Lytechinus pictus: one gene and its partners. Each later gene encodes a partner of the first gene's protein in a complex. Links are inferred from orthologs where the notes say so. Each region holds a gene or a part of one and is shown in the gene's direction. Other genes may lie near its edges.

What was found. The genes of interacting proteins can lie anywhere in the genome.
Region 2: U6 snRNA-associated Sm-like protein LSm6 (region 1) and U6 snRNA-associated Sm-like protein LSm5 share a complex: the UniProt entries of both Homo sapiens proteins name them as parts of the precatalytic spliceosome. The link is inferred for Lytechinus pictus from reciprocal best matches to the Homo sapiens genes LSM6 and LSM5.
Region 3: U6 snRNA-associated Sm-like protein LSm6 (region 1) and peptidyl-prolyl cis-trans isomerase H-like share a complex: the UniProt entries of both Homo sapiens proteins name them as parts of the U4/U6-U5 tri-snRNP complex. The link is inferred for Lytechinus pictus from reciprocal best matches to the Homo sapiens genes LSM6 and PPIH.

What each region holds. Positions count from the first base shown.
Region 1 is NC_087249.1:11,246,120-11,249,876, reverse strand, and holds the start of U6 snRNA-associated Sm-like protein LSm6, read left to right. Parts: upstream 1-830; 5' UTR 831-909; intron 910-2,684; 5' UTR 2,685-2,768; coding exon 2,769-2,877; intron 2,878-3,697; coding exon 3,698-3,757. UniProt on the Homo sapiens protein: Plays a role in pre-mRNA splicing as component of the U4/U6-U5 tri-snRNP complex that is involved in spliceosome assembly, and as component of the precatalytic spliceosome (spliceosome B complex).
Region 2 is NC_087245.1:27,099,316-27,103,072, forward strand, and holds the start of U6 snRNA-associated Sm-like protein LSm5, read left to right. Parts: upstream 1-1,244; 5' UTR 1,245-1,363; coding exon 1,364-1,406; intron 1,407-3,352; coding exon 3,353-3,448; intron 3,449-3,757. UniProt on the Homo sapiens protein: Plays a role in pre-mRNA splicing as component of the U4/U6-U5 tri-snRNP complex that is involved in spliceosome assembly, and as component of the precatalytic spliceosome (spliceosome B complex).
Region 3 is NC_087258.1:26,237,995-26,241,751, forward strand, and holds the start of peptidyl-prolyl cis-trans isomerase H-like, read left to right. Parts: upstream 1-1,338; 5' UTR 1,339-1,736; coding exon 1,737-1,802; intron 1,803-3,757. UniProt on the Homo sapiens protein: PPIase that catalyzes the cis-trans isomerization of proline imidic peptide bonds in oligopeptides and may therefore assist protein folding. Participates in pre-mRNA splicing.

The sequences.
Region 1 (3,757 bases):
TCGGTCGCGTTAATTTTCAAAAGTTTGATTCATTCAAGACAAAAATTGAAGAGCCCCGACGGGGGGATTTTGCATTGTAAGTCCCCTAATGGTGGCTGCACGATAGCGAGCCGTCAGTGTATGAGGAGAAATTAAAAAAATAAAAAAATGTTAAAAAACTCCTCGAAACAGACGGCTGCCAGCTGTCTACTACTAGTACTACTCGAATCCATGTTGTTAGATCTAATGTTAGTCTACCTGCTACCTAACACATGTTTTAACAAGTTAATGGTTTAAGAATAAATGCATCTAGGATAATTTCTATTTCTAAACTTAAATTATAAGTTACCTCGGCTCAATTCAGTCACAGACACATGCACAGTTATATTAATATATATAGTTACGGACTTGGTTGTAAATGTAATGCCTTTTGAAATCGAAAATGAACTGGATCGAATGATGTATAGTAGATATCGCACTGGTTACGAACTTGGAAAGAGAGTTTGCTGGGATGAGCTTCTCCGCTTTATAGCTTTAGAACTTCACAAAATATGGCGTTGACTGGGCTTTGTCACAATTCGTGTGTGTTATTTGTGGCCGGTGGGAATCGCTCGGGAATTCCCCCAAACTTAGTCTGCTCTACAGCTTTGTGTGAATATTATTATTTAAAACTAGATTAAATTTCATTATAAATTCGAAGAAGATTAGAAAAAATTGAAAAGAAGAAATAAATATAAACATAATGAAATTATCTAAGTCGAATCAAACCCCCTGTATCCCAAATTACTTCACATAGAAGATAAAGAAAATTAATTGCAAGCTGCGTACTGACCCTGCCAGTTAACCATTAACACTAGCTTCACGCGAGAACTTTGACCATATTTTCCGGCGCTGCATTGCTAGCCGCTCATTTCCAGCTCCATAAGAAGGGTGAATATATAAGCATTAGATTTTGCCATAAATAAGGTTTATTTTTCTATATATATGTGGTATGGTAGTAAAAGACCCCATTGTGTTGACGGTACTTGTGTTTCCTCTTTTTTAGAATGATTAAGGTGTCGTTAAGACGTACTTATGTTTGCAATGACAAGATGATGACGAAAGTCAAATCAGACTTTGTCATTTTTTACTTCGGTCCCAGCCATAGCTATTGGTGTAGACCGATAAACAGTAGAGGCGCTGGTCCCGCGATCCCGCAATTAAAAGCTCTGTCTCAAAAGATTGGGATTGTCCCACTCATTCTATGAACAAGGTTATGATATACATGAACCTTGTTCTTATTTTCTCTTTTTTTTGGGGGGGGGGGGAGGGGACAAATGCTTGATTTTTTTGACACTGTCAGTTTCCATTACAGGCAAATTGAAATAGTAAATACAGCTACATTTCATCATATTCTCAAAGTAAATTTGATTCTTAAAATAGAGATTGAAAATGACAATTATCTTGCCATAGTACTTTCCACCGTCTATTTTTCACGACTTGCCGTCTTCCAATAATCTTGTTATGAAACCTGATATGTTTACATTGACTAGCACACTTGATTGGCGTCGGCACTTGACAGAAAAATTTCCTAGATTTCTTGTGATAATGTTTGCCAAAACTCATTTTTGTTACTCGCAAGCTCACCGGGGCACATCCGGTGAGTAGTTATAGTACAAATTATAAATATATTAAAATTTTACGCTTTTAAATTCAATGAAAAATAGCAAAATTGCTTACCTCGGCCTGAAAAGTGGTTTTGCATGTTTATTGAACCACGGAAGTAAAAGGAAGCCCGATGGCGCTAATAAATTTCATAACCTTTATTCAACTCATCGGTAGTTTTAAAACTGTGTCTAAGTTCAATTCCTATGATTGTTTGATAAAATATGGACACCAATAAATGCATTACCTTCCAAACATATTTTTAGATTATTATTACTGACGATAACACTTTTTTAAATCATTCAAAGCAATGACAAATTAACAAAAAATAAAATTCTATGTGCCTTGAACAAAACCAGCAGTGCGAGCCGTTGTTCGTTTGTCAACAAACAGTCCACCAAAGTCTACAATGAAAAGACTGGACACTTTGCCATCTTCGCGTAACGCTTTGCATCAATTTGCGTGTAAAGTAATGTCTTTACCCTGTAGTGTCTTTGATATGAATATAAATTGCACGCCCTCCTTAGTTGAAAATTGCTGTTCAAGGAGGGGCACAGCACAGACATCAACAGCAAGGAAAAATATTCTTTATTCAAAGTCAAGTTAGAAAAAAGTCACCAAAGAGAATATATATCATTCGGTAAGTGAAATAGAACAATTTGACTTTATTTTAGATTTTGTCAAAATACCAAATTTCGCGCAATCCCATGGATGGAAGTGTTCCATCTGGACTCCAGGAATCTCCAAAGAAGTGGAGGGATCAGCTAAGAGAGAGAGTTGCATGCATCGTGCCTTGATTTTCCTGTGCATCGTGGCATGTAATGAACGTATGGGTGTTTGCCTTGATTTGCAGATAGTGTTTGGAAAATTGTGTACTGAGGAAAGGTAGTCAAAAAGTCAGTCCAAGTTGAAGATGTAAGTCTGAAATGAATGAAAGTCTGAAGTTTATATAATTCGGCTCTATAGGTTTGCCTTATACTCTCGCATAGATATAATTTCTATAATTGTTATATAGCTTTATTTTGTTCTCACTCCAGTCAATTTTTCTACTTTGTCACCAGCTCTGAGAGTTGCTGTTTTATTTGGTGATCCTCAAACTTGGATGAACAGCTGTGTCAGGTAGTGACCGACTAGCTCTGTGCATCATGAGTACTGCTACTACTACAGCCAGGAAACAAACTCCTAGTGATTTCTTAAAGCAAATCATCGGCAAACCAGTTGTTGTCAAACTAAATTCAGGTGTAGATTACAGAGGTAAGAAAAGGGCATACTTCTCTCAGGACTTTCATTTTCTTCTTTTTTTCTTCTAGGTCTATACAGTATATTTAAAAAATCTGGTGTTTATTCCTTTTTTCTTTATGCTCCCTTTTCCCCTTTCTTCCTCAATTGCATCTATGGCTTTTGTATGTGTATTCATTCTCCTGCTAATCTTGTTTATTTTTCCCATCTTTTTTCATACTTTCCCCATTTTTTTCCTTATTTTTTATCACCTTCCTGCTTCTATTTCTTCATAAAAATAAAAAATCATCATATATATTTTTGAAATTGTAAAAAATTGGTGTTCATCCTGTGTCTTTGTATCCAGACACACTATTACATGCAAGCTTCTATAAAAGACATATTAATTCATTGTGAACTGTAAATAACGCAATATGTAAAATTTCGAATAAACAACAAATATCATGGATCAGCTCACAGATGATGTCACAGAATAATCAGAACAGAAAATTTGTTATAAAGTTTATAGTCTTCATATTATCCTTCTGTATCTAATGTAAAAAATTGTAATCTCATGAAATTTATATTATTCAATTTTTTTTCAATTTATTTTATTTCATTTTATTATCATTTTACTAGTACTAGTAGTATTTTTTTTCTTATTGTCATTTTTATTATTATTATTATCATTATTATTATTATTATTATTATTATTACTATTATTATCATCATCATCATCATCTTCGTCATCATCACCATCGTCATCATCATCACCATTATCATCATCACCATCATCATCTTTGTCATCATCACCATCATCATTAAGTACTATCATTACTACCATCTTTTTTTACAGGAGTTCTTGCCTGCTTGGATGGATACATGAACATCGCCTTGGAGCAGACAGAAGAGTATG
Region 2 (3,757 bases), on another chromosome or scaffold:
GATTTTAGCACACTTGGGAACAATCAACCGGAGACAAATAATATCAACTCAAACTTTGTCTAAAATTCATGTTAAAAAAAAGTCCAATTATTTTATCTTACGTAAAAGTTAAAGGGGGTCCACCGGTCAATACTAGTCCTATTTCAGTCACGGCAGACATCAACAGATTTCCTATGCTTGGGCTAAGTTCATTTTCAAGCTACTTTTTACTAAAGTTAGTTCCTGTTTCCAAAGCTAAAACTCTTTAAGAATTCAAGTCTTGCACCGTTTTAGCATTCACTTCACAGACACTTTTTAAATTCTCTATTGGCCTAACGTTAGTCCTAAATCGCTGATAATTTGTCAAAAGCCTTTCAACAAAGGAGCCTTTGTCAAAAATCGGTGAATCAAAACAGAAGTCTGGACAAACGACACATTTACAATTTTTACAAAATTTGATCGTGTGCTATCCAGAGTTTAATCCAGATCCAGCACTTGTGCACCAACTTTTGACAATGACCTCTAGTCTAACTAAGTCTAAAGTCTAATAATCAACTAATGTCCATTGATTGGTAGAAAGTGTCTGCAAAGCTTCAGCTTCGATGCTAAAATACACTATTGAATCATTAGAATCCTTCCATCAGCTGACCCCTGGGGCATTTTCATAAAATGATCATACTCACAAGGGACAATCACACGCGGAGAAGACGAATGGCATGCAGAGCTCTCCAGACCTTGAGCCTGAGTGCACTGCGACCTGGGCTGGTGAGCTGATGATAACTTGTCTTTGGTTTAGCTATAAAGCCTAACTAAGCCAAGGCGGGCTAAGCTAAAAAATAAAAGACCCTTGTAAAAAGTTATTGTTAAAAACTGGGACATCTAACGGTAGGCCTAACGTTAGATCAAAATAAAGTTGGTCGACAAAATGTATCTCTCCTCGACGATTTCTTTCAATCGAATCCCGCGCGGAGTACGGTAACGTTTCTCAGGAGTTTCTTGAGTTTTGATTAAGGTCGAATTCGCAATGTGGTCTTGTTTTTTCTAACGTAGACTTATTCAAGGGCGCTCTATAGGCCAAGCAAATCGAATTCCAAACGGGCCAGAAGCAATAAGAAAAAATATTGGAAGTATAGTAACATAAATTGATTTAATATTATTTTTATTTAGGGATAAAAAAATATTAAAGGGTATGTTTTTCATATTTTTTTAAATTATAAGACATTTCGACACAACTTTAAGGGAAAAAAATGAAAAACATCATCAACGACTTCTAAGAGACAAATTAATCTGGAAATTGAGTTGACTGGAAGTTGCTATCGCATATCGGTGAACGACAACGATTTGACGGGGTTGTGGATCAAAATAAAATTAAAATCACGACAGTATGACTACCGGTACTTCCAACCCATCTCACCTTTTACCTCTTGGTAAGACCCTTGTTTTCTATGAACGTGGTGTTATCTAAGACTAAGTAACGTAATAAGAGCAACTTCAGATGCCCGTGGTCATGCTTTGCTCAGCTCAGCTCATCGGCTGACTCCCCGCTCTGACCCGGTTGCCTGCCGGCACGGCTTGGCAGTACGGAGGCCACGCGCGGCATACCGTTTTGAACTTTTGGCTCTACCACTACCATTGTTGTATGTCCGGACAAGTTGTGCGTCCGGACGATCAATTTTAGAAAGTCATTTGGAAAAATTCACGAGCGAAGTTTCATCAAATTTTAGTACAAGATGTTAGCAGGGGCGGATCCAGCTTTTTATAAAGGGGGGGGTTGGGGTGGTATGCGAGGGAGCGTAGCGACCGAGTCCAAGCGAGCGAGGGTGTGGGAGGGGGGTGTCCCCCTCCCACAGTAGGGAAAAATTTTGAAAATCTGTGTGTGAAAATGGCGTTTTCTTGCATTACAAGTTTTAAAAAAAAGATAAGATTTTAAAAAATGGTCCCCGGATTTTTTTTTTTTTTTGGGGGGGGGTTGCAACCCCCCAACCCCCCCTCTAGATCCGCTTCTGGTTAGGAAATATTATAGAGAACAAAATAGAGGATGATTAAAACTATTGAATTCATAATTTTAATGTATTAAATCCAAAGTCAGACTCAAACTCAAAGACAAAAAAGAAGTCTTCAAAAATATAAAGTGTCCGGACACGTGACTCCCAACCTACTATTAAAGTGCTACCGCCACAAAGATAGTTGTTCTGACTCTGAGACCGAGCTATCCCTTCTGCCAGACGGTATCTAAAGTTACTATCTCTCATGGGCACTTTGGGCAGAAATCTGTCCCCAAAGGTAGGGGGAACAGGGGCTGGAAACTTTGACAAGCAAAAAAATAATAATCACCCAAAATATAAGGTCATTAAAAAAAAAATTACAAGCAAAAAAGAGGTTTTCACCCAAAATGTATGAGGTCATTTAGTCCAAAATATATGTATTATTTCGATTGGGAATGATGTATTTTTCTCCATGAAAGACCAAAAATAGTAGGGGGGACATTTGATATTGTGTCCCCCTACTATTTTTGGTAGGGGGGATGCATCCCCCTGTCCCCCCTGGAGTTTACGCCCATGCTAGCTCTACCATGTCTATAATATACTGCCTAACTTGTTAGAGCCGAGAGTGGAGGATGAATGAGAAAGTGACTAAAAAGAAAAAATTCCTCTCCCCGATGTAGTCAAGACAAGCCTGAAGCTGAGAGGGGTGGGGTGCGTGAGTTTATTTTTAGTGGACTGACTGGAAAATAGCAAGTGGGTAACCCAGCCGCTACTGAATTTGTCAGATATCAGACCTAGGGGTCGAGTAGGAAAAGTGATTTGATTGAGCTTATACTTTTCATTGCCGAAATATTGTCCTCCCAAAAAATGAAAATTATAAATGGGGAAGTTTTTCATTATGTGTGTCACAATCTTGTAACTTATTTAGAGTTCTATTAATTTGCTTCTCGAGTTTCATTGATATGTTTCTTGATAGTTTTGTTTATCGTTAACTGGTTGTTACATTTTAATCTTATTGATAAGTTTCTTTAGTTTAGAAATGTGTTGCACTAGTTTAAATAACCTATAACTATTTGATGCCAAAAGAAAAAGATTCTGCATGTTGCATTTGAATATATTGTAACTAAAACTACATGTCAGTCATAAAACATTGTGTTTTGTTCTGACGAAGTAAATTGAAAGGATCATGGGTTAGACTGTTCTAGCTTGTCATTCTTCTTTAATGATCAAATCCAGAGACCTATTGAGTTGAGTATTAAAACATTTACTATTAAGATTTCTCCTCTTTTTGGAGGCAGCCTGATTGAAATTTTGAACACAACTCTGCCAATAAAGAGACTGATTCTGTGGTCTAAATCATATTCTTGCTCTTTGATTTTATCTTTCAGAACTTGTTGACAAATGTATTGGCTCCCGGATTCACATTGTTATGAAGACAGACAAGGAGATTGTTGGAACTCTGCTTGGCTTTGATGACTTTGTCAGTATCCTTGTTGAATATTAATAAATCAACTTGTGACAGAAATCATTGGTTAAAATGTCATTTAAAAAAGGGAATAGAATTCTTGTGTTGGAGTGAAAAAAAAAAGTCTAATGAGGAAAATAAATGTTTGTTGTAATAATAAACTAGTCTACAGTAATGATCTCTTTTGATTACATTTTCATGTAAATTTGTGAGTTAAAGAATCAATATTAACCTTCTGTAGTTAATGTAATTTTCAATATCATGATTCAAAATGCCTTCACACTCCAGCCAGTTAGCTTTAGTTTAGGTCTTTACTTTGATACTGGCC
Region 3 (3,757 bases), on another chromosome or scaffold:
TAGTTGGGACTCTAACTCACCTCGTTTTATCTGCAGTCAAGACCACTCTAGGCGACACCCCAATACTTACCCGTGCTAATAAACTGGGACTCCACTCACGCGCATTTGGGCCGCCCTAGCTTAGAACTAAGCAATATTATCTAGAAATTAATAAACTCTAGTCATGAAATATGTTCTATTAAATAAATTGATAATGTTTAATCGGTACTCACCGGTTCTTTTGTTGCATTTTCAGACCATTTCTCACAAATTCTTTGTAAATATTTGCGGCAAATTTTGTCGCCATAGACAGCTATGCATCCATCTTTATTAATAAATGGAGCGCCCTTTACGATAGTTGTTAATGCCGCGGAGAAATCGTTAGGCATTTTGGCATGTGTTCAAGGCGTTCTTTCTGTTTTATTTTTTATATTGAAGATTGTGCATTTGTTGAATAGCGCCGTCTACGTCAGGTATGAGATCGAGTGTATAAATACACTCTTCCAAAATAATTATGATTCCGACCTGGCGCTGTTTAACTTCAATCTCTTTCACCTAAATTAGCGATGAATGCTAGCATTATAAAATATATATTATTAACGTCTGACAAAAAGAATAACCAACCGATCAGCTGACGAGAACGCGAATCACGTGATCTTCATATCAGCTTCGATCGCGAGTCAGAAGAGAAGAGCAACTGCCCAGAAAATCAGGAAAAAGCCGTGAAAATGTAAGTTCCCCTTCATTTCTTTCATTTTTTTGTTGTTGCTAACGATGCATTTACACTATAAAATTATAATTTAAATAAGAGAAAGGAATATAGCTTGTACTTGTGATATAATATATAAATATCCTGTTCTCAGAGATTTCTAACCAAAAATACTACTGATGTCGCCTATGAGGTCCATACATGTAATGTTTGGACCTCATTGGTACTAGGAGTGGTCAAGACCTCTTCCCGCTATGCTAGCGAGAAGCGCTGATACCGGAAGGGGTATTTTAATGATTATCAGCCGATAGCTCGACTAGTCTAGACTCACAGACCCTTTGGCTTTACTGACTAACTTAGTTAAATAAACTGATGTCTATGGACAATTACACGCACTAGATCCTGCTCGAAATTTGACGGAATAAAGCCATATTTTGGTGTGTATTTCCACTCCCCCATCATATATGTTCTAATCTATATTATGGCTAGATATATTATTCTGAACCTTCTCTATATTTTCATTTTCAATTTTAGTGGGGATGCACAGGGTTTGATGACCCACCGCATCACAGGCAAAACTTTACTTCGCCTCTTTAATTGCGACGCTATCCCGATTCGGGTATGCATTAACTTTGAGTATCTTATTATCCAAGACCAACTACAATATCATGATACGAATACCGGTAGTTGAATCTTATTCTTGGTAAAATCAAGCTTCTTTCATTACTTGCATATGAAAATGAGACCTAGGGCCTAAATAAAACTTAAGTTAGAATTCCAAGTTGTTTTTTTTTTACTTACCAGAGTCTAGATATCAGTAACTACTAACTTTGAGGTCCTTTGCGCTCATTTAGAGTGGTCTAACCAGCAGCTTCGTGATCACCGTACCCGCCTTCACCTTTGGTATACCGTACGCTCTCGACCTCGATACCGCGCGTGAGAGAGTGGCTAGTGCATGCAGTGGTGGTGTGCTAAAACCTTGCCCTTGGAAGTTGGAACACAATTTCATCACGTTTCTCTGGCTTAAGCTTGTCCTAAAAAGTTTGCAATGACGACGGGAGCTTCAAACCCAACCAACCCTATTGTTTTCTTTGACATAACAATAGGAGGGCAGGTAATTTTCTTATCATAATCATGTGCTCTCGGACCGTTAGTTACTCCGTGCCTGTGTGCTGTGGTCCCACGTGCTGATTTTTGTGAAGGCCCTGGGGCCCGTTTCTCAACACATGGACAAGTTAGTCATATACATGTATCGCCTTATCGGCATATCTTTATCCACCAACCACGGAGTTAGTTCCAATCTTACTAAACCTGTTTCTCGAAAGGCTTCCTAACTAGAATACCTTGATATCGATACTATCGGTAAAAAGAGCAGACGAGACGTAGCCTTAGTCACAAAATAGCATAATTTTCAAAAAGAAAAATTATAAATATGATATGACAAAATTGCAAATATTATGATGAATTGGGAAAAAAATCTTTTCAAAATAATAGCACAGGTGAATTATGCATCATACATACTTAGACCATGAAGACTGGAGCATTCAATTGCAGAGAAAATCAAATTATGAATAATTCATTTCATGACTAAAAAATCACTTGTGGACGTTGAGATGGGTACCCCCGGCCCGGCAGACCCAATTTTAATAGTTTACGAAAGTAAACCATAACGTTTTTTTTTGTAAAATGGTGATAATTATACGGACTTTTACGATTCCAAACGTCATCAAAATATAGTTTAACGAAACATTTTTAATCATTGATACCGAAAGATACGATATTGGACAAATTATATGCATAAATTAGAGATAGAAATTAGAATTCATCCAACTGTTAATAGGGGTCTGAAAACAACAAATACGAGTTCAGTTATGGATGGCCTGACGTGGTAGAATCTTTATCGATTAAATCATTTTACTATTTCAAAATGAATAGTTTTGTGGCGTTTTACCAACAGTTTATATAGTTTATTTGTATTACAATTATCATTGAATGCATTATCCCACTTGTTTTGTGATGTGATTTTAACCTCTATGATTGATTACGTAAGATTATAATTTTAAAATTTCTAGGCACTTTTGCATGTCATAGTCTACCCACGTGATGCTACTACGTCATAAAGAAAGAAGTTATGACAGGTTCGGATGTGTCATAAATATTTAGTGAGGTTGTTGTACCCGATCTTGGTAAAGAGGGCTTCGTGAAACGGTTAGCGGACAAGTAGCTCACTATCTCCGATTTAGTCAAGAAGTTAGACTTATGACGGTGTTGAGAAACGGGCCCCTGCATGCTAAACTTAGTGGCTAGTGGCAGTGCTATCATGGAGATCCTCCCAATTTAATTGGCCAATTCAATGGCATCGCCATTGGCAAAAATATGCGACAAAGTCAAAGATGTGTGAATGTGAACAACTTTCCCTTTGATTGAGCTTGATGGACTATAAAATACCCCCAAAATGTCTCTTTTTGCTCTAGTCTTAGTCTTATGCCTGGTGATACAAATTCACAAACTCTTCATCCTTAAATAATAATGACAATGTATTCTTTGAAAATCTATTACATGCCCTCAGTGTAGTCATAAGTCAAGAATACAAAAATTAAGAATAATATATCGTTGTAGATCATCTACTTCAAGGTCAACTTGTCATGACTTGTTTACTTTAGGTTGTCAATTCAGGAATACTCGGGACAGTCAGGTATACATATATGGAAGTGGATCGTAATCGTATTACCGCACACTTATCATGAATTCAAATTCAATCATACTGTATGATATCGAACACATTACTCTCACAAAATTCACCCCAAACTTTCACCATAAATACACAATTACCTACAAAATATAAATATGTAAAAATTTTGCCGAAATCGTTTTACCTTTTTACGATATTAGCTTCCAATCGATCGGACCCCTCTTCGCATGTGAAATATTTTGGTCACTTGAAAAAAGTATTGTATATTACCGAACATGTGTTTTCTATGGGATAAGTTGAGAAAACAACAAAAGTGTCTAGTGATGAGCTACTTTTACCATATTTTATTATTTTTAGAATATTAATACTTTGAAAAT